Drosophila melanogaster: one gene and its partners. The gene in region 1 interacts genetically with each later gene. Each region holds a gene or a part of one and is shown on either strand. Other genes may lie near its edges.

What was found. A genetic interaction does not mean that the proteins touch.
Region 2: of Ret (region 1) and spi, changing one suppresses a phenotype caused by changing the other (phenotypic suppression), as found in Drosophila melanogaster (one study listed by BioGRID).
Region 3: of Ret (region 1) and Delta, changing one suppresses a phenotype caused by changing the other (phenotypic suppression), as found in Drosophila melanogaster (one study listed by BioGRID).

Annotation. Positions count from the first base shown.
Region 1 is NT_033779.5:21,194,166-21,202,402, reverse strand, and holds the start of Ret (Ret oncogene), read left to right. Parts: upstream 1-3,640; 5' UTR 3,641-3,750; intron 3,751-6,906; 5' UTR 6,907-7,273; coding exon 7,274-7,340; intron 7,341-8,237. Other genes in the region: CG31988 (uncharacterized protein), read left to right, coding at 151-687; CG31624 (uncharacterized protein), read left to right, coding at 2,466-3,002.
Region 2 is NT_033779.5:19,572,495-19,579,304, forward strand, and holds the start of spi (spitz), read right to left. Parts: upstream 4,822-6,810; 5' UTR 4,692-4,821; intron 3,094-4,691; exon of another isoform or gene 3,041-3,093; intron 117-3,040; exon of another isoform or gene 6-116; intron 1-5. Other genes in the region: msb1l, read left to right, coding at 5,304-5,480, 5,546-6,514. UniProt on the Drosophila melanogaster protein: Ligand for the EGF receptor (Gurken). Involved in a number of unrelated developmental choices, for example, dorsal-ventral axis formation, glial migration, sensory organ determination, and muscle development. It is required for photoreceptor determination.
Region 3 is NT_033777.3:19,321,397-19,327,860, reverse strand, and holds the start of Delta (delta), read left to right. Parts: upstream 1-1,643; 5' UTR 1,644-2,322; coding exon 2,323-2,379; intron 2,380-6,464. UniProt on the Drosophila melanogaster protein: Acts as a ligand for Notch (N) receptor. Essential for proper differentiation of ectoderm. Delta is required for the correct separation of neural and epidermal cell lineages.

The sequences.
Region 1 (8,237 bases):
CAGAATTATAATTTCTCTCATTGATATTTGCGTTGCCTATCCAGCTTTCATTGTTTCTTTCAATAAATCGATAATCAATAGCAACCCTGTTTTGTACATGCGTATTAACAAACACATTTTTTTTTTGCAGTTACCAATCGAGAAGCCAAAATGACTGAGAGCATTGTGTGTCACAAGTGCCAGGAGGCCATCACCAAGCGTATGATCACCGCCCTGGGCAAGACGTGGCACCCGGAGCACTTCCTGTGCCACCACTGCGATGAGCAGATCCTGGATGCCACCTTCAATGTTCAGAGCGGAGAACCAGTGTGCAACAAGTGCTTCGTGGAGCGGTACACCTACACCTGTGCCGGCTGCAAGAAGCCGATCCTTGAAAAAACCATCTGCGCCATGGGGGAGAGCTGGCACGAAGATTGCTTTTGCTGCGGCGGTGCCTGCAAAAAGCCGCTCGCCAATCAAACGTTCTATGAGCGCGACGGCAAGCCCTATTGCAAAAAGGATTACGAGGACCTCTTTGCTGCCAGGTGCGCCAAGTGCGAGAAGCCTATAACGGACTCAGCGGTGCTCGCCATGAACGTGAAGTGGCATCGCGATTGCTTCCGGTGCAACAAGTGCGAGAATCCTATAACCTCGCAGACTTTCACCATCGACGGGGACAAGCCCGTGTGCCCCGCCTGCAATTGCTAACATCGTCCCGGATAACCATGGTGCATCCTTGCTCTTCCTCCAAATTGTTCATTTGCTTGCTTACAATAATGTTGAAATAGTTCCCGAAGCTTAGTAAGCCTAGAGGCATGCAAGAAAACAGACTTACACATTTAACACACAAACTTAATACACACACAAACACTAAATAAAAATAAAAAACAAATATGTTAAGTCTCTGTATTGGGGTAGACAGGTATACCCTAAGATTTGCCTTAGTGGTGTTGGTCACCCAAAATAACATTCTGATTACTGTGAGATAAGGTCGAGCAAGCCCTTTCCAATATGTTGCAGCCTTTCGTTAAATAACAAGCTTTTGGCAGCACTTTAAATAATGAATTATTTAATTTTAAAAACAAAAATTGAAGAGCTTTAAAAAATCTTTCCGTTAAGATCGCAGTACAACTGCCTTATCGATTCTTCTCGATATGAAGTGGTGGCCGTCTCTTGGCGTAGTCACGAATCGGTTACGCAGATGTGTAATCTAGATAAATATGGAATTAATACAAAAAAATTAAGAACAAGATAGAATTTTACATACGAGTTCCCCGACTATCAGATAACGGTTACTCAGCTGGTGTGAATGCAAAAGCGAAATTTAATAATTTTTCTGGGATATCGATAGAAAAAAATGAGTAAAAATTGTTTAAAAATGTGGGCGTTACTGTTTTGGGAGTTTTTAAGGTGAAAGGAGTGGCGTGTCCACAGTGCTTTTGGTATACATATAAAAATTGCCAAGACAAACAATAAAACGAAGAAAAATCTAAACATTTTTCAAAAGTGCGTGGCAGTTTTTGGCTTTAGGGCGTTTGAGTGGGCGTGGCAGAAAGTTTTTTTTGGCAAATCGATAGGAATTTCCAAGACTAATAAAAATATCAACAGTTTTCAAAAGTGTAGGCGTAGCAATTTAGTGCGGTTTTAGGGCGTGGCAAAAAGTTATGGAATTATGAAGAAATAATTTTCAAAATTTCTAAAATGTTAGCGTAGCAGTTATGGGCGGTTTTACGGCGTTAGAGTAGACGTGGCAAAAAGTTTTTTTGCAAATTGATAAAAAATGAAATGTAAAAAAATATCAAGACTTTTTTAAAAGTGTGGGAGTGGCCGTTTTTTGCGGCTTGTGGGCGTGGCAGCATGGGCCAACAAACTTGCGCTGCATCGTTGTCTCTAGAATTTGTATGCTGAATCTCATACGAACAGACGGGCATGGCTAGATCGACTCGGCAATTGATCCTGATCAAGAATATATATACTTTGTATGTTCGGAAACGCTTCCTTCTGCCTGTTACATACTTTTTAACGAATCTAGTATACCCTTATTATACCCGTTATTGCTTGTTGTTGTGCTCCCATTTTGTGTGAAACATCTAATAGAAAGTAAAGTAACAACGGTGGCCCTGTGACAACTGTTTTGATATATGAGAACAGTACAATTACGAACTAGGAAAAACACACTGCGAAAAGAGGAAGTAGTGAAACAGGCGACAAACCCAGTAAGAAATACACCCAATCTTAAAATAAGTACAGAATTATAATTTGTCTCATTAATATTTGCGTTGCCCAGTGTTTATCGTTCCATAGCCATCTTCCGTTGTTTCTTTCAATAAAATAATCGATAGCTGCCCTGTTTTGTACATTTTGTATTTTAACCTCAATTTACGATATATACGAGCAATTCAATCAAAAAAGAGTAATTGAACAATCCCTTGGTAATGCGCATTAAAAATCATTTTTTATTAGCAGTTACCAATCGAGAAGCCAAAATGACTGAGAGCATTGTGTGTCACAAGTGCCAGGAGGCCATCACCAAGCGTATGATCACCGCCCTGGGCAAGACGTGGCACCCGGAGCACTTCCTGTGCCACCACTGCGATGAGCAGATCCTGGATGCCACCTTCAATGTTCAGAGCGGAGAACCAGTGTGCAACAAGTGCTTCGTGGAGCGGTACACCTACACCTGTGCCGGCTGCAAGAAGCCGATCCTTGAAAAAACCATCTGCGCCATGGGGGAGAGGTGGCACGAAGCTTGCTTTTGCTGCGGCGGTGCCTGCAAGAAGCCGCTCGCCAGTCAAACGTTCTATGAGCGCGACGGCAAGCCCTATTGCAAACAGGATTACGAGAACCTCTTTGCTGCCAGGTGCGCCAAGTGCGAGAAGCCTATAACGGACTCAGCGGTGCTCGCCATGAACGTGAAGTGGCATCGCAATTGCTTCCAGTGCAACAAATGCGAGAATCCTATAACCTCGCAGACTTTTACCATCGACGGGGACAAGCCCGTGTGCCCCGCCTGCAATTGCTAACATCGTCCCGGACCCATGATCTTACTCCAAATTGTTTAGTTCCTTTCTTACACTAATGTTGAAATAGTTCCCGATGCTTATGAAGCCTAGAGGCATGAAAGAAATCAGACCCACACATTTGACCACACTTAACATTTCGCACACGCACACACTAAATAAAAATAAATATGTAAAGTCTCTGTATTGGGGTGGCCAGGTAAACCCTTTTATCGTTAAGATTTGCCTAAGACCAACAACACCCACAACAACATACTGATTACTGCGAGATAAACTAGAACGCAAGCCCTTTCCCAATTTTGAGTAAATATTTTCCCCAAACCCAGTGAAAAGAAGCTGTCGAGGAAAGTGTGCTTGATATGAGATCATGTTTCCAAGGGTAAATATGCTACCCAGCCTTGGAACATGCACATCTGATTATCTCATAAACGCCATTAGTCGGTGGAATTATGTTGTTTGGAGGAGGGGTATCCCAGCAGTGCAGCGGAAAATGGAAAACTCTGCGAGGGTGTGCTGACGTGCCGTCATCGTGGAAAATTCATACATTCGGGTAAAATACACGAAGCGGCTTCGTTAGTCAAGTTTTCGTTACGATTTTGTGGGCTCTGCGGCTTTGGAGTTGCCGGCTGCCGGTTTCAGTTTCATTTTTCAAACGGAGCTCGTGCAAAGCGGTTCGGTTGGTCTTTAAGCGATTTTCCACAAACCAAAAAGTATTTCCGCGGAAAAGCTGCCCGAAAACGGGAAAAGAGAGGTGGCTAATTAATTACACTGTTGAAACTGTCCCATAAATAATTGCCGTTTGAGTCGAACAATTAAGGAGTCTGTAAAAAGCTGCAGCAGCTGCAAGCCTCCATAAATCGTGTCTATCAAAATCAAGATCGTGGTTTACGTATGTTGCGAACTTTGAAATTTATTTGCGATCTATGGCCAGATTTTCCAGATTCGGATTTTCCAAATGCAGCCAATATCCTCACGTCTAGTGGCACTGACAACTCAATACAGTATATCGTGTAGATTGGCATCAGATAATTGTGATTTAGCCGTGCGTGTTGAAGTGGAATTAGTTTACTCAATTTGCAACTTCAAGTAATTGCAGTTTATTGAGGAAAATATTTTAATATATTAAAGCTGAAGTGGCGGGATAACAGATTAGCTATAAATATATATATATATACATATATGTATGTATGCAAAGACACATCTTTGATAGTAAAACACTAAGTGTGGGTGGTCTGAGCGTTTATTCTAATTGATAATTATTTTAATTAATACAAAAGATATCTAATCTTGTACTTCTACATTTTAAATGCCTGTTAAGGTCTTTCGTGCTTGCGTTTGCTCAGGTGGAGGCAGAGCTTATAAAAATGTTAATCTTACAAATTATAAAATGTGGGATTAATTGGAAAATGTTTTATTTTGATTACCTAGGTGACAGAAAATTAATTGTTAGCATATGCAAATGTCAGTCGCGATGTGAATTTGCATTTTACGAATGTGTCTACAAGCGATCAGGTCTAAAAACTCAATCAATGGGATCAATTAGGGTTTGTAATACTTGCTATTGCTGACTGTGTTGGATCAAAAAGAACATCACGCACACCTTTAAAGCGGCTGTCATTCCAGAACCTTTTTTCGTGGAAATGGAATCCAAGCCAGGCTCTAAGCTTCCAGGCCAAATTTATTGACGCTACTCTGGCATTCTTTTTCAATTCGTAGATGTCTGTGAACGAAAAAATAACTTACAAGCCGATGGCACTGGAAAAGGTCCAAGCCTAAGTCAATAATATCATCGAATTATTCTATTTGGTTTTTATTCACAGCTCATTATACCAATACTCATATATAAAATACCATTTAAAGTTAGGGGAAAGATTGAAAAAGTAGCAATAATTCGATGAAACCAAATGAAGCAACATTTTTTTTTATTGTGTAAGCCATAATATTTTTAAACACGACACATTAAAAAATTTTTTTTTACATTTCTGTATTCATTAAATCTTTGCAATGCAAAATGTTCTTCATTATGATAAAGCAATGCAAAAGGCAAACATTTGATTAAAATTAAGCTCCCAGTACGCATTCTTAGAATCTTTTTTTGTCGCAGTGCAGTTAAAAAACAGTCGGGGCAGTCACTGGCACTGAAGAACCTCCACAGTCGTACTTTGACTCTTGCGGTCGTCGGATGTTTGTAAGTTTGCCGGCTTCGCATAAGTTTTATATGGAAATTGCCATTTTTGGCGTTTCGAGCAACAGGACGGCTATAGACGCACCTTAAAAGTCCACCCGGATCGGCTGGGTCGCGCTTAACCTTTAATGGGGAAACGCCATGGCCCGAGCCTTTGAGAGCCCCTCCAGTTGGCAACCGGTTGGCTTCCAGTGAATGTCTCTGAGTTTCTGTGTGTGTCTGCTGCAAAAGCCTCTTTGTGTCAAGTCGTATGTTATTAGCATCCGCCAACTGAGCTCCCAGTGTGTCAAAAGATTTGAACTTTAAAGTGCTCAGGTGCTGAAGAGGCCCACAGACGAAAAGTAGACAGCAGACACTTGGACTGCCAGTCAGTCAGTCAGTCAGTCAGTTAGTCGGTCTCTCGGTCTTTGAATACACTGCGAATAAAACTGTGATAATCGCACATTTGGCCATGCTATCGGAAACTATCTTTAGAAAATGTGCTTTATTTCAAGCAAATGTGATTGCAATGATTAAGAAAAACGGATAGAAGAGTGTTGTACTAAGTACCAAAATACCGAAATTACTTAAAGCAAATCCCATTTACCAATAAATTGAAATGATCCAAATTCAATGAGTTTCAGCTTCAGTTTACACAGTTTTTCCCATTCGACTTTTCGGCCAGTGTTTGTGAATTGCTTATCACGTTGTTTGACTTTGAGCTCGTTTGAATTATGCGTGCTATCTTCCATTGCCATTCCCCTGGCCAGCGGGTAGTTCACGCCGCAATTGTCTCTTTCGGGTTCTTTTTATCACACCTGCCGTGCACCGCTGGATACCACACATATGCCGTCCATCCATCCGCACTGGAGCGATGTGGAGTGGAGTACCTAGAGTACTCTGTGGGGTATGGAGTAGGTAGAGTACTCGCACGTCCACAAACTTTTTTTGCCTTTTCCTTGACACGTCCTCGTTGAGCGTTGCTTGGTACTTGCATAGAATTAGTTATCGTAACTAGTTCTATTGTTTTTCGTATTCAAAATTCATCAGGGTTTTCGGCAGTTGGTTAGGAAGTTTAGAAATCTTAATAAATTAGCATTACCACTGTATACAAAACTCTGGTAATTTTAAGCCCGAAACTGTCTCAAAAACCATTCAACTTTTTGACTTAAGGCAGCCAGAGCAAATTGTGAAGTAAACCCACATTGTTTGCCCAAATAATTTAATTAAATTATTCCACTTAAAAACCGATTGAGCAAACTGAAAGCCATTCGACATGGAGTGAATCGGCAAAAAGAACAATTAATAATGATAAGAGCAACAAATAGCACGCACCCGAGGCGCTCGACTTTTAAAATTTAGAATTAGAAAAATATAAAACAAAAAACAGAAAGCAACGCCAATAAGCCTCTCACCTGGCGCTGGCCAAAAATAGCAACCGAAGACCATTTAATAACAATATCAATATGCGAAACAAATTCAAAGCTCATTTTGAATTGCAATAATCAGAATTCGTAGACCGCGCGGCTCTTGAGAATTTTGTGCGGAATTAATTGAGTGATAAATTAGATTGCTTAAATGACAAACGGGAGCGTGGGCGCCGCTATCAATAAAAATAATTAGCAGTCATACCCTTTCAGTGGGTACATTGATGTTTACGAAAACTCATTTTGAAATAAAAAAAATTAATTTTCCAAATTGTTATTTTGGTAAACCTAAACCTCTGTTACTTGTTTTCAAAAGCTTACGTTCTGCACCAAAAACGAAAAACTATTAATGTTCGTGGTCTAAATATCCGCAAAACTCATTGTTATTTTTTCATATTTTCTGCTCTGGTTTTCGCACATTAATTGATAAATGCTACTTATCAATTTGTGGCAAAAGTAATTAAGCTTGTGACGGAATCGAACGTGGCTAATTGGATACAGCATTGGAAAAGAATACCATCACAGAGAAAAAAAACACGGAACATAAAAAATCAAACAAATAGCGACAATTTGTAGAGAAAACCCATTAAAAGCGACGTTCACTATGTGTAAATATGTAATGTGCGTCTACGAGTGAGCGAAAATTGCCGACTGATAACTGACTTTTTGAAAAAGTAACCACGATGGAGTCAACTACTATTGTTTTTGTGACTCTGCTCACAATTATAACCCAACGTAAACACTGTGCGGGTAAGTGAGCTACAAACAATTTAAGGATGGCAAAAATGTTAAGCTTTATTACTCAATGTGGTCGATTGGGTGATTTATCGATCCATTTCAATTTGAATTTAGGCAGCTTGGGAAACAAGAATAGTCGAAACAATTAACACCTTTTATAACTGACTACTGTGACAAGGCTTTGCCAAAATGGATTTTTTAACTTGAAACTAGTTAAATGTTTTATTAATTGGGTATTGGAGTCGTCGGTCAATGTATATCAACTTATATGTAGTAAAGCACGTTAACCCCTTTTTCTCCTGTTTCTGTGGCAAATGGGAATCTCGCAAAAGGCAATTACCCTCATTTCCATAGAGTGCCAGTGAACGAATCTCCCAGATAACCTTAACACCAATATATGCACAGTGGGAATGCAACCGAAGATATGATGTTTCCATTAGAGGTGTAATAAAGTGCAATCTCCTTTTATGACTTTTTTAGGTTGTTGTGCTCAAAGACGCACTGCTTAGCTCCTAATTATAGGCCCATTGCGTTCCACGCGACCAGCAAGGCTCTTATTTTTATTCGCCTGGCACAGGTGTGAACTGACGTCTTGACAAGTTGGTAAGCGATATGTGGGCCCGGCCTTTCGCTTTTGACTTTGCAACCAACTGACTGACGCTGATGGACTGGTCTACCGACCAACTCCCTGGGGCCGCTCCATCAATGCCTCAAACTGGGGGGAAAAAAAAACTTTACACATTGGAAACATGTAAATTTCAATTTCCGCATAGTAAACTCAGTTCGTCCTTTGTTGAATATTAACTTTAAATATTACTTACTTTCTATTTTTACAAATGTTTTCTAAATATCATATAACATTATCATGTCATATATTTTCTTTACAATTTTTTACCTTTTTACTGGGTT
Region 2 (6,810 bases), 1.6 Mb from region 1:
ATTACCAACTGTTTGCATTTAAACTTGGACAACATTAGGGGGCAGAACGCCGACAACGCACACCGCGCACACGAAAAAACACAACCGCACCGCCAAAGATTCGAAAACCGAATGCCGAACAACAACAAAATTGGTTCTGAAGATGGAGGTGTTTTTCAGCAGAGCGAGATTCCCTGGCTCACGCTGAGCGGGAGAGAACGAGAGCGACAAAGTCTCTCCTCTAAAAATGCGGCATAATAACAACAAAGTGGCGAGCGGCTTTCGAGCTCATGCTGTATGTTGTTGTATACCCGTTACTTGGAGAGTTAATTGGGTATACGGTGATGGGCTCTTAGGCAAAGAATTTTTCCAAAATACACTTTGCATAATTACTCAAATAAATTGCCTCAGAAGCTACTTTACTCGTTTAAATCTTAAATTAATATTATTCCATTAATGTCAAGCCACACAATACAAAATTCAATAGGAATCACTCACCTATAGCTGTCATTGCAAACAAATGATATTACCTATTGGACTAAAGGGTATATCTGAGTAGTTACGCTTCGTAAAAAGGGCTCTCTCTTGTTTTGGTTTTTGTTTTGGTGTTGCCAGAAGATTTCGCACGATGTAGGATCAACATGTTATTGACACGACGTCGCCGACGCCGCCACTTTTAAGCTTGGCGGAGCAAAAGGCACACAAACAAGAAGCGACGCAGAGCGGCGGTGCAAAAGCACAAAAAAAAAGAGGAAAAATGCGCTCGAGAGCGGAGGGCGTGGCGGTGCGCAGGGGCGGGGCAGGTAGCCGGACAAACAGGACGAACAGGATGAAACCCAGACGAGTTCGGCCCCACTGCAGATTTCATGGAACTGGCCGAAGGTTGAGGATGCGGATGCGATGCGCAGGCGCGCAAGTAAACAACATTCCATTCCTCGGGAAATTTCTTCTGGCCGCTCGAGAAGCGCGCCAAAAATAAAGCTCCGACCGATGTCGTTGCCATAAATATTGCTATTTTGACTTTCCAGATTCTCGCGATTCAACGCCCCTTGAAATGGGAGCAACTTGCTGGAGATTCGCGTATCAGGGCTGGAAGAGGGTTTCTCCAATAACTGCACATTCACTCAAAAATATGGTAAAAAGGTGTGCTGCAGCTTCGAGAGCTCCCAAGAGGTAACTTTATGTTATAAAATTACATATATTTATTTTATGTATATATTCTGGGAAAATCCATACGCGATCTAAAACATTTGGGGCGCGGTTTTCACAGGTAAATGAGATTTTGGAATTCCTTTACTGAAATGCCAACGTCGATGTCGTCGATTTTTTCAAAAAATCACAAACATCGATGTTTTTCGAGGAATCATCGATGTTTCTCCACCTCTAATAAGGCGGATTCGACCTATGTACATGTACTGCATGTATGAAAGCGGCACAACTACCCGTTTCCGGTGGGCAGTCGGTCCGCAATGTGGGCCGCAGACACCATTCCACAGCCAATTGACGTCACAAGCGACACAACAGCAACAACCTGGCACACGCTTTCTGGGTTATGTCGGAATGCATCCAAAAGCGGGAGAAAAGTAGAAAAAGGCAGGAAAAGAAAGAAACCAAGAGTCACCCGGATGGCAATTCGATTCTGGTGAGATTTGGACAATCAATCGGCTTAGTTCACAGCCCAGCGGGACGGGACTCAGTGCTACAGGTTCAACTGTACAATAATACCAAGAAGATGACGACGATGACGATGACGATGATGATGGGGGATGGGCGATGGGCAAAATGTTAATGGATTGCCCTAGGACCTGCCCTCATTCCGTTTGCCATCTTCGTCGCTTCGCTTCTGCATTTGTGCATTCCCATTCCCAATCCGATTCCCCCATCAAGTTGTGCTTCTTTGCCACACCGCTTTTCTGCCCCTTTTGCGGTGTTCTGTTGCTTTGTTGATGTTACAATTGTTGCACTTGTTGTGTGCGGCTTAGGACGTTGAACCACAGCCGGCAGAAATGCAGAAATGCACGCAACTGAGTGGCAAGTGTACAGCTGCAGTCACAGCACTAGCAATGCTTTGCGAAGGATTCCTCCAGACCGCTTTGTAATTGGTTTTCTTTCGCGTAATTTGGCCGATATTAGTTAGTTCATATCTGCAATCTAAATGTTACGAACCAGCAGAGTTCCTAGAGCCCTAGAGACATTAATGTACTTTTAATTGCCCCACTGTATGAATTTTTTTCAGTGCATTCTTGCAATTTGCTAACGTTTTTACCGCCATTACCGTCATTGTCGTATATATTTGTATGCTCATTCGGAAAGCCAATTCGAAGGCAATGCTAATAAAATCAATAAACAACATTACTGTCACGCACACATACATACATACATATGCATATAGCTTGGATGTCCGGTTGAAACGATGACGATGAAAGGTCACGACGAAGAATTTTTCGCCAATTGCCTGGTGGGTCGCACAGTCTGGGTCGCGAGACGTCTGACTAGACAACATGCAAATAGTAACGGTAATCATTAGACGCACACACTCGCACCTATTTGCATGCACACTCTCTCTGGCTGTGGTTCTGGTCGTGGGCCCCCATATTTCATCTATCTCGCGGCCGCTCTTTCTTTCGCTCACCATTTTCTATGCTGAGTTCGACGGCCTTCTTACGTAAAATCAACAACAACGCTCTGCGGTATTTCTCTTCTAATAAGCGGGTGCTTGGGGCTTGGGGTTGGGGGGATGTGCACTCGCCGACAGAGTTGCCATATCTAGCCAGACATCAAACTCGTTTTCACTGTTTTGGCTCCACACACACACACACACACGCATGTGAGTGGCTTTGCAACTGTACAAGAACAATAAGTAGGGGCAGCATAAAAGCAACAACACACGGCGCAGACGCCAAGCAACCGCTCCCCTCCCAACGCTCCACTCAATGTTTGTCTGTCTGTCCGGAACGTCTGTTTATGTATGCTTTAGGCGTATACATGCATGAGTGTGTGTGAGCAATTTTTATTTTTCTGAATGTAAAGGAAGTGGCACGTACTGTACTACTCAACTCACCGCTGCCGCAACAACAAGAGCAGTGACAGCCGGATCAGGCTGGGAATTCGAATAAGAGCGGAGCGCGTCGCATTCGGATGTTCCGATTCCCCATCGTTCCCAGCCGCAAAGCGGTCAGCGTTCCAATGCCAACGGCACAGTGGTTGCGATGCGTAAGGTAACGTGCTACGGAACCGAAACTCGCGGATGATCGTAAGTGGGAGATATGTACGTGGGATAAGAGCGAAAGTAGACGGATATCCGATTTGCAAAAAGATGTAGTATTAATTTAAAATGTTTAGAATAACAAAAATAAGCTAACAAAACTATAACCATGACAAACTATGACGATAACAATATATTTGCTATGCGTTACGATTTACAAACTTTGAATACTTTTTAAAAGATGCTTATTTAGGATCGATCCATTGTGCAGCGAGATGAGCGGAACGAAAGGCGAAAGGGACGCTGGTTTGCGTCTCCGCTGTACGCCAGACAGACAGACAGACAAGACGCCGCAATATTATAAACAGGAAATGGAATTTACCCACACGGATGCAGCGCGGTGAAGTGTGTGTCTGTGTAAATTGCTGATGAGCCGACAAACGGACGTGGTGCTCAATTGACAGATGAGCACGAGAGAGACAGGCAGAGCATAGCACACCGCCGAATGAGCGAAGGAGAAGGCCAGAGCGCGCTTCAAAGTTGATTGAAATCAATATACGTACATACGTATGTATACACACATAGCGTGCCGGTGTGAGTGTGCTAAGACCGCTCGTGGAATGTTTGAAAAACGCGGTCAAGCGACGGGAAGAGCAAGAATGTTGAACTCTGGAAGTGGGAAGAAGTTTCTGTAAATAGAAGCCAGGTGGAAGGGGCTTTTGCACCTGCCACGCCCAGCAGCCCCTGGAATCAATTAACATGTTGCACAACTGCAGCGGCTCCTATATACATAGTTCATATAATGTACTTGTGATACAGTGACTTACGCACACAGAGGTGCAATTGCAGATGGCGACGAGTGTAGCGTGTAGTTTTTCTCGGAAATGAGCAATGAATGAAATTCGGTTGTTTTCAGTACTCACACGCACACGAACGCAGATGCATACACTCGCAATTTGGAGCAAGAGAGAAAGTCTGCACGACATGCGCTCTGGCGTTTGTGTGTATACAATTTGCTTACTTTTTGCGCTACAATTGGCAAATAAAACAATAGCGCAATTTTACGCAGCACTTTAGCTTACTAACCCACATTGATGGCTCCACAAAGCGAGCAAAATAATTTGTCTGCCTAATTGAAATAAAATAAATAAAACTAAGCAGAAAAAATGTCGGCAAAAAACAAGGCGCAGCTGTATTGTGCGCTAGTGTGTGTAAAAAGGAGACGGCCATAGAAAAAAAAAACACATATACACACAGGAGAATTTACTGCTGCTTGCGGCGCCCACACACACATACACAAAAACACTCGCCTATTTAGTACAGCAACTGCGTAAATTCAATAAAAATAGTCATCTGGAGTAAAAAAACCCAGTTTCCTGTCTTCATTTCCCTTTTTCCGTGAAGGTACACAGTCACTACTGTTATAATTTAGCACACACACTCGCGCATTTATGTATGCATTTGGGTTGCTTTCATTTGGATGTTTATCACTTACTTTACCACTTACTTTGGGATTTAGCTCTTCGTTTGTCGCACTTTTTTGGCCTGTTTTCATGCCATTTTCTTTTTGAAAAACTGAAAGAGTACAATTCGTTGTGTCGCGTCTTAAATGAACAAGTGTTGCCAGACTTTAGCTGGAGGGAGATGACACTATCGCGAGGCAGCATAAAAATCAGTGCTGTAAAGCGAAATTAAAAAAAATATCTGATAACTTTAATATTAGTTTATTTGTTTACTGAATTTTACATTTTCTTATGTACTATAAATAAAAATCAATTCATAAATTTATTTGAGAGGAGTAAAACAAGAAGAATCCACCTAAACATTACAGACTTAAGTTCTAAATATCCCAAACGTTGTTTAATTTCTATTTATATTTGTAACGATTAGTTAGTTATTAGTAATAATGAAAGAACTAGTGATAAAATCCATTTGTAATCACTGCTAGAATTGGCTTGAAAATAGCTAGACTGACGTTAACAATACTGTTACCAGTTGGCATTTCCTGATCCGGCAACTCCACACGACGCCATTTCAAAACAAATGCGCGGCAACGATTTTATTTTACCCCGCAACATTTAGTGAGAAGTCGCAAAATAAGTCAGATTATTTGATTAAAATGGGAGCAAAGGCAACAAAAATGGAAGGTGAATATCTGCCGGATACGCCGACACTAAACAAAATGCGCCTGGCCAGCGAAAAGCGAGAACAAATGGAAATGACGACGCCGAATCGAGAGCAAAACAACGCTTTGCTCGATCCTCGATCACCAAATGGCTGCCGCACGCCTTTAACCGTGAGTTTATAGGCATTAGGTATTTTTTGATATTACTAACCCTAGTAATGATGGCTGCGTTGTAGTTCTTGCAGGCGTCAAAACCTCGCGTTGAGGAGGAGGAGCAGCATGTGACCACCAGTGAAAATGCCTTCTCCATGCTGCGAAAACGTTTGCTCAAGGGCTTCTCCCTGAACGATCCTCGCTCTCCTCAGCTGAATCGCACTCCACTGGTCCTCGATGAGGTTCGTTCGCTTAATATGGATGACACATTCGCCGATCTCTTCGTGGACACCAGGGTGGGTACAGCACAGAGAGCAGTGCCTGCATCACCGCCCCAAGTGGATTTAGAGGAGAGCTGCGATAGCTTCGGCACACCGCCGTCTGCTGCACACAACAATATTTCCCTGGAGATTGTTTCACTGCCCTATGATCAGGAAGAAACCTTGCCTTGCGAGCAACAGCTGCTGCCGTATCAGGAGCCGAATCTGGAGCAGGGCCAGGTGAAAATGGCCACGCCCCCGCCAGAACAGCAGCCCCATGGTGATCCCCGATCGCCCAGCCTGGGCGTCGATCGCACACCCATCATCTTCTGCGACGACGAGGAGGAGGAGGCACGCGAGGCCCAGATGCTGGAGCACATCCTGGAAACACTGACCCTGAATCTCAGCACTGGCAGCAGCATGGCCTCCTTTGTCGCTGGCGAGGAGCAGCTACCAGAAGTGCCGTCGAACAAACATTTGGAGCGAGTGCGTTTGGGTCACAAGCGTCGTGTGCCACCGCGCAAGCCCGCCAGAGCCAACAAGCCAAAGATCTATGTTGACCAAGAGGAGGGGTCCCCGGTGACCGGAGGATCCATTACGCCCAAGACAAACAGTACCCCCCTGTCCGCACAAAAGCGAACTCCACTCAGTTGCGTTAAGAATAAGCCGCATCTGCGATCCCGTTCAATGGAAAAGGATTCTAAGAAGAATCAGATTCCGCCCGCGCAGAGCTTCAACGATCAACTGCGGATAATCTCTGGCACAGAGGGATTCAGCGGACCCGTTTACTAACACAGCTTAGTAGCTACTATTGCCTTATGTCCATCAAAACCCACCAAATCATAGTCTTTTCTCACGACACATACTTTTATTACTCATCTTTTAATAAATCATTTTATTAGTTTGCTTGCCAGTACATTGTGCACATAAATTGATGGATGCAGTTTGCTCATGAGTATTATTCTAACATTTGGAAACCGGGCTATTTATTCCTGAAGTAACCTATTACCGATAATCAGCGACATATAGTTTGTATATCCATTGAATCTATTAAGTCTTAAACGTTGCAAGTTAGTAAAACCGCCACA
Region 3 (6,464 bases), on another chromosome or scaffold:
AATCAAATTAATCTTGCTCTTTTCGTTAAGTAATTGGATCAATTTTTAACGAAAGTTTGGATCCAGAGACCACCGAAGAATCTAATGATTTGTTAGGAATAATAATAAAATAAATAGGTGTACAGACTTAGCATTTTTACCTTAAGATTTTTACAGAATAGAATGGAAGTACAAATTGGAAAATCAGGCCAGCTATTTAAAATTGTAAAGCCAAAATGAAATCGTAGTAGGCGAACACATCATATTCAATCTATTTTCATAAAAATATTTAGTTTAGCTCGATTCGGCATCGTCGGCAGTCCTATATCAACTAGAAAATATTTGGATTCAAAAAAAAAATTTTATTTTTATTTTTTTTAATATTCGTTGAAAATAAATGCAAGTATTAAAAATTATTACTATTACACAAAATGCTTAGAACAAAATTTATTGATTTTGAAATATTGTTTGGTTATATAGTTATTTATCGTTTATTTCAATAGAGATTCTAGTTCATTTGGTTATTGTGGAGCAAACATATGCAACGCAGTGAAGATGTTATCACAAGATGGTATTTCCGAGCCAATGGATCTTTGAGGCAGAGGCTTGTAAATATTTGTACATTCTGATCATATTTAATGAGATTCCAAACCTTTAGCTAGATGGTATCTTCAGCAATTTCCACCGAGCAGCTTGGACAATTAATATGTAGTTTATGGATCCTCTTTCAATGAATTTAGTATGCCCAAACTCGAAGGAGTTTCACCTCCATAAGAGCGACAGTCCTGGAGAAGTTATCAGAGCCAAAAAAATTCATATGATGATGCATTTTCCGTCTCTGAAAACGTCTTCAGCAGAAGTTGTTTTTAGCGAAGTGAAACTCATTCGATTTTGATCATACTAACGACATTGGATGCTTGGATCGGCAGTTTGGTGGAATATAAATACCAAGACCCTAAGACTGATGACGTACCTGCTAATGAAGATGATGGAGATATACTTGCATGCCAATTCAATAAGTTATAAGCACCCAATATAATAAAATTCAAATATTTATATTAAATACAAATATCCATCTTTAATTTTATTTTTGGTTCTCATCTTGGCAACAATAAATGTTGCTAAGCATTTTGCTTTCAACTTTCGCGTGAGCTGAATCGGTAAATTGAGCGAACCGGGAATCAAATGTTGCTAACGAAATGCTTACAAGCCGGTATCCAACTGGTATCTGAAACTGCTAGCAAAACGGGGAATCAAATGTTGCTAACGTAAACGAATTGAATTGATTTGTTTTATTTTAGATATAAAAATAAAAGTAGAATATCTAGAAATAAAAAATCCGAATTTTGAAGATTATTTAGAGACAATCTTGGAAATTTGTACAAATAAACACCCGTCCGGTTGAAGTTAAACAATATAATAAATTCTTATATCAAAATAAACTTGGTAATGTATATTGAAATTTTAAATAGTTTTTAAAATGTGTAAGTTGACTATTTATTCAAAACGGTTTGTTGCATTGCATCTGCTGAAATGCACTAATTTTGCCACGGAACTCGTTTTGAGAGCGAAAGAGAGAAATGAGAGAGCGAGTACGTTTCGTGGTATTTTTTAGTACGATTCGCGGCGGTGAAGGTGAATAGTGTTTTGGTCGTGGACATGAACGGCATTACGTTTTTCAACTCGGCCGCGCGAATAACTCGAAAAAGGCAGCTCCGCAGCCAAGGCATTTTGAAAAACACAAGTCCCCGACTCGAAACGCGACCAAATATTCGGTGTGTGACGCGAACTGCCAATGCAATAGTTCACTTAAGAATTGCAGATTACCGCGACTCTGGGCAGTTCTCATTCGATATTTGAATGTACCAAAAGAAAAGTGCCAGAACCAGAAATCAAAATAAAAGATCTTCTAACAGAATAACAAGAAGTGTTTCCTCCGAAAGATTAAAAAATCGCGAATGATTAAGAATCGCGGCACCGTTAGTTCCCTCTCTCGCTTTTCCCTTTTGCGCTTTTCTGCGTGAAAAGGAGAAGACTCCGCAGTTCGCGAAAAGAGCTTTTATTTCGCGACACTTAAAAATAAACACAGTCGAGGAAATTGCAACAAAAAATGTGGCGCGTGCACGTGTAGCTTGCAACAACGACAACAAGAAAACAACGAAAATGCTAAAAGCGAATTGCAAAACCATGTGCGACAAGTAACCAAAAAAAAAATTCAAAACATAAACACAATAAACAATTTGAGTAGTTGCCGCACACACACACACACACACACAGCCCGTGGATTATTACACTAAAAGCGACACTCAATCCAAAAAATCAGCAACAAAAACATCAATAAACATGCATTGGATTAAATGTTTATTAACAGCATTCATTTGCTTCACAGTCATCGTGCAGGTGAGTTTCAGTCCCAGGAAAAGCGCTCATTTTCCATCCAACAAGTTGTATTTTTTGGCAATTTATTTTCTTTATTTCTACGCGCACGCGTGCACTCACCGCTGAATTTTGCAGCTGGTGTGTTGTGCGCGCATGTGTGTGTGTGGGGCCAAAAGGGAAGAAACGATTGAAGGGTTGCCAGGTTACTAAATATTTTAAAACTTTTGGGGTTCCGTATGATCATCTCAAAATATCTATTTTGAAACCACTCCAACATCGCGTTTGCTTCCAAACTTATTTTTCAAGCTGGTAACCCGAGAACTTTTGGGTAGAAACAGCTGAGTTGATATTTTAAGCGGGTTGGCTTTTAGGGGTGGAAATTGTGGATCGGATCGTATCACCCTTTTCGGAACATGCATACATATTTCATAGAGCAAAACTAGTTTGGAAACATGCGAGGCCAATGCCCAAACAGGTCCATCCCCAAAAAATGGTTTAATTCTAGTACACAGCGGAAAAATATGAGGCATACGTTAGAAGAAATACCTTCAAGATAATTTTTGACATGCAGATCAGTTCAACTTCTTAGAAATCCTACTATGTGTACTAATTGTTCTCCGTGTAAAAACAGAGATGATCCAAGTCTGCCTCAACGTCAAAATTTACCACCAACGGCGTATGCATCCAGAGCAGCAGCAAAAAATGATAAAACTGCTCGATTTCAATATGAGGCTATATAGTAATGCTGTGCTACAAGCCCATGCTAAAAAGTTGATGATGCTGGGCAACATCTGCCGTTTTCGCCGTCATCTCCTCCTCTGTCCCTCCGCTTTGCATGCGCTTTTTACATGCGATTTTTTTCGGTTTACTTTTCGCTCTGCGTAGGTCAACGCGACACATGCTCAGCCTCACTTGCTCTCCCCTCCTTGCGTTGTTTCTCTTCTGTCATGCTTTCATTGATCTTTAACGCCAGCATCCCCTGGTTACACGGATAAAAAAAAGAGTTGTGCAGGGTTTCCAAACAGTGCGATCTCTAGAAAATAACACTAAATATTTTGTTGTTAATGTGTGGGTTAGTTTCAAAGATAAGAAAATATTAAATTATAATAAATCTTGACCATACATAGTATGTGTACATAGTATACATTTCATAGTTCAGAACTATTTAGCTACGAAGAAATTACAACTTAGATCCACAATATTAAGCTGATAGGGAGCTCTTTATTGATAATAGTACCCATTTACTCACCGTGCACCCTGCATGTGCTCCAATCCTCTACCGCTCTCCGCACTTCTTGATTTTCTCCCAACTTTGGCACGTTGCGTGCTTAAACTTCACTCTTCGACCAGCTTCTTTTTGCAGTCTGCTATTTAGTCGCTAATTTTAACAACGTCCCAAAAAAGTGTCTCGACGCCAACCTCCTGGGGTCTTGGGACTGCTGAAAATGCTCCCCGTATGTAGGCAGAAACATCTGCCCAATAATTCTGACTCATTTCCTTACTTACTTACAGGGAAAGGTGGAATAGTTTAATTTGTCATTTAAAATAATATCTCGGGCAATTAGCTTGCCATTAGCAATGCAATTTAATTCAATTTTCTGCCCATTCTATAAGGTATTATTCTCACAATTTCTTGGCCCTTTCTTGTCCCATGCTGCGTTTAAATTTCAATTTAACTATCAAATAACCGTAGTCGCCTTGTTTTCGCATTTATGCAATTTTCATATTAACATTGAGCGTCGAAGAAGTGAGTGAGTGAGCGAGTGAGTGAATGAATGAATGAATGAATGAAGACTGGGACTCGTGGGGGAGCACTCGTAGTCTTCTCGGCTCTGCTCTTTCTTCGCATAACATAATTAATTGCAATTTAGAAGCCAAAGAGGAAGACGACGACTACTCCCACACAATGCGATGGATGATTCACTTGCGCTTGTAACTGTTTCCCAAGCCCGTTGTTAACGGTTGATTATGATGATGAATTTAAATGATTAATAAACAACATGCAGGGTAGGGGCACCAAAGCAAACACCTGTAGGAAAGTCGAGGAAAAGTCGGGGAAAATTATAATAAAAATGCGTGCTTTCATACATTTTTATGTCCCCTTGTGTTGTTTTAACTTCTTCCCTGCTTTTTTTTCTACAACAACTGTCTGTCAGTCAAGGCAAGTTGACGTGGAAATGGCAAAAAATGAAAAGAAACGAAGAACTAACTAACTAGTCGCTTCAAGCCTCAGTGATCGCAGTAAAAATAGGAGTAGTGGCCAGTAAAGAGAAAGAAAACGAGAAACGGAGACAAAGAATGGCTCAAGCAAAAGGTAAACAATGCAACGCACTATTTTCTAACACTTTAACAAGTGTCTGTCTTCCATTTGAGAGGTTGGCAGCTCCAGCTTTCAAGTTCCACCTGGCGAAACCCCCTCGTAGATCCCCCCCACAAGTTTTACCTTTCGGTTATTCAGCCGCTGTGGAGTTCATAGTTGAAGGCAAAGGCAAACAAAAAGCGGAAGGAGAACCATTACCAGTGTACATATGCCAAAGTTATGAGGCGGATTGTGCAAGGTGTAACTGAGCATTCAACATTTTGGAATTACGATAAAAACAGTCGGAAAAGTTAGATCAAAGAGAAATATATTATATATTTTACGTTATTAGAACGAAAGTTATGTTTTTTAAATGCTAATTCATCATATTATCTACTACTTGTCCCTTTAAGAGCTTGCTAATACTAACCGCATACTTGGAGGGACTTTAAAACAGTGTGAGAAACTATAACCAAAATTGGTGTCAAATGGTGGACAAAACTATTGTGGTTTTAACGATTGCACTTTTTGTTTTGTTTTGCTTGTGCTTCCCACCATCTTTAGAGTGTGTGTGAATGTTTGTTTGGTGTTATGCAAATTGATTTGCTTGTTGTTTTGTCTTGCTTTTTTTGTGTTGTATATGTTGTGTCAACTTCTGCGCCTTTGTTTGTGTGTGCGCTTTTCGTTTGTCCCATTTTGTTGTTTATAGTCTAGTTTAGTTTGGCTTTCCACTGGACACGCCCCCCTGCCCGCCGCCTCCCACCTTTCTAACCTTCCTTCCACTCAATGGTTTTTCTCCCTCTTTCTCTTTCCCTTTTTTATTGTATTTCTTTTATTAATTCAGACGCATCGTTTGGCTTGATTGTCTATTAATTCATTTTGCCTGCTTCTTATTCTGTGCTTTTTTGCGCATATTTATGCTCCTCTTCAAAGCGCCGTTGAAAACAAGTTTTTGCTCTGGGAGAGCCTCGCTCTCGTGCTCTCTCTCTCTCTTTGGAGCAGCTGGCAGCTGCAGCTTGTAAGCTTGCACACACACACCAGCAAACACGCGACTCCAATTCACTTTTAAGTCACGCTTTGCTCTTTTTGCGCTCAGCTGACAACAACAACTACCGCTTTAGCTCTCTCTCGCTCTGCGCTAAACTGTTATAGCTTGGGGCCTCTCTCTCTCTCTCTCTTTTGGCGATCTTTCAATATGGCTGCATGCACTGCTCTTCTTCACCTGGCGTTTATTCGCTTACACCTTTTTACTTCTGCTCTCTCGCTCTTCGCCCAAGCGCTCCCCTTCTCACCCTCTCGCGCTGTCTCTTTTCCTCGTTTTAACCATCAATGTTGACCGGCAAAATCGTATGCCGTGGGAAACAATTCGGTTTTACTTGTACATTTTTTCATCGTTTTTCTCCGACGTTGACGTCGACGTCGGCGTCGCTGCCTGTTGCTGCTGCTTCTTTTATTTAAGTTTTTTGTTGTGTGTGTTTCTTTTTGTTTTGCTGCTCTTTTGCGTCCGTTTTGTTTTTGTTGGCTGCTTATTAATACATACACAGGAAAAAGAGTAGATTAAGTATTAGCATGCCTTTGTATAACATTTTGATAGGTGAACTGTTCACTTGTTGTACTTAAATACAAATATTAATTAATCTGTTTAATAAGAAGCTAAAATATTAGAACTTTGATTTTACACTTAAAGTAGTAATACAAATAAAAGTATGGTTATATCAGATCAATATTTCTTTCCGTACAATGTGTTTGCGCCGCGTTCGTTGCCTAAGTCTTTCGTTTGGCCGCTTACATTCGTTGAATGCGCCCT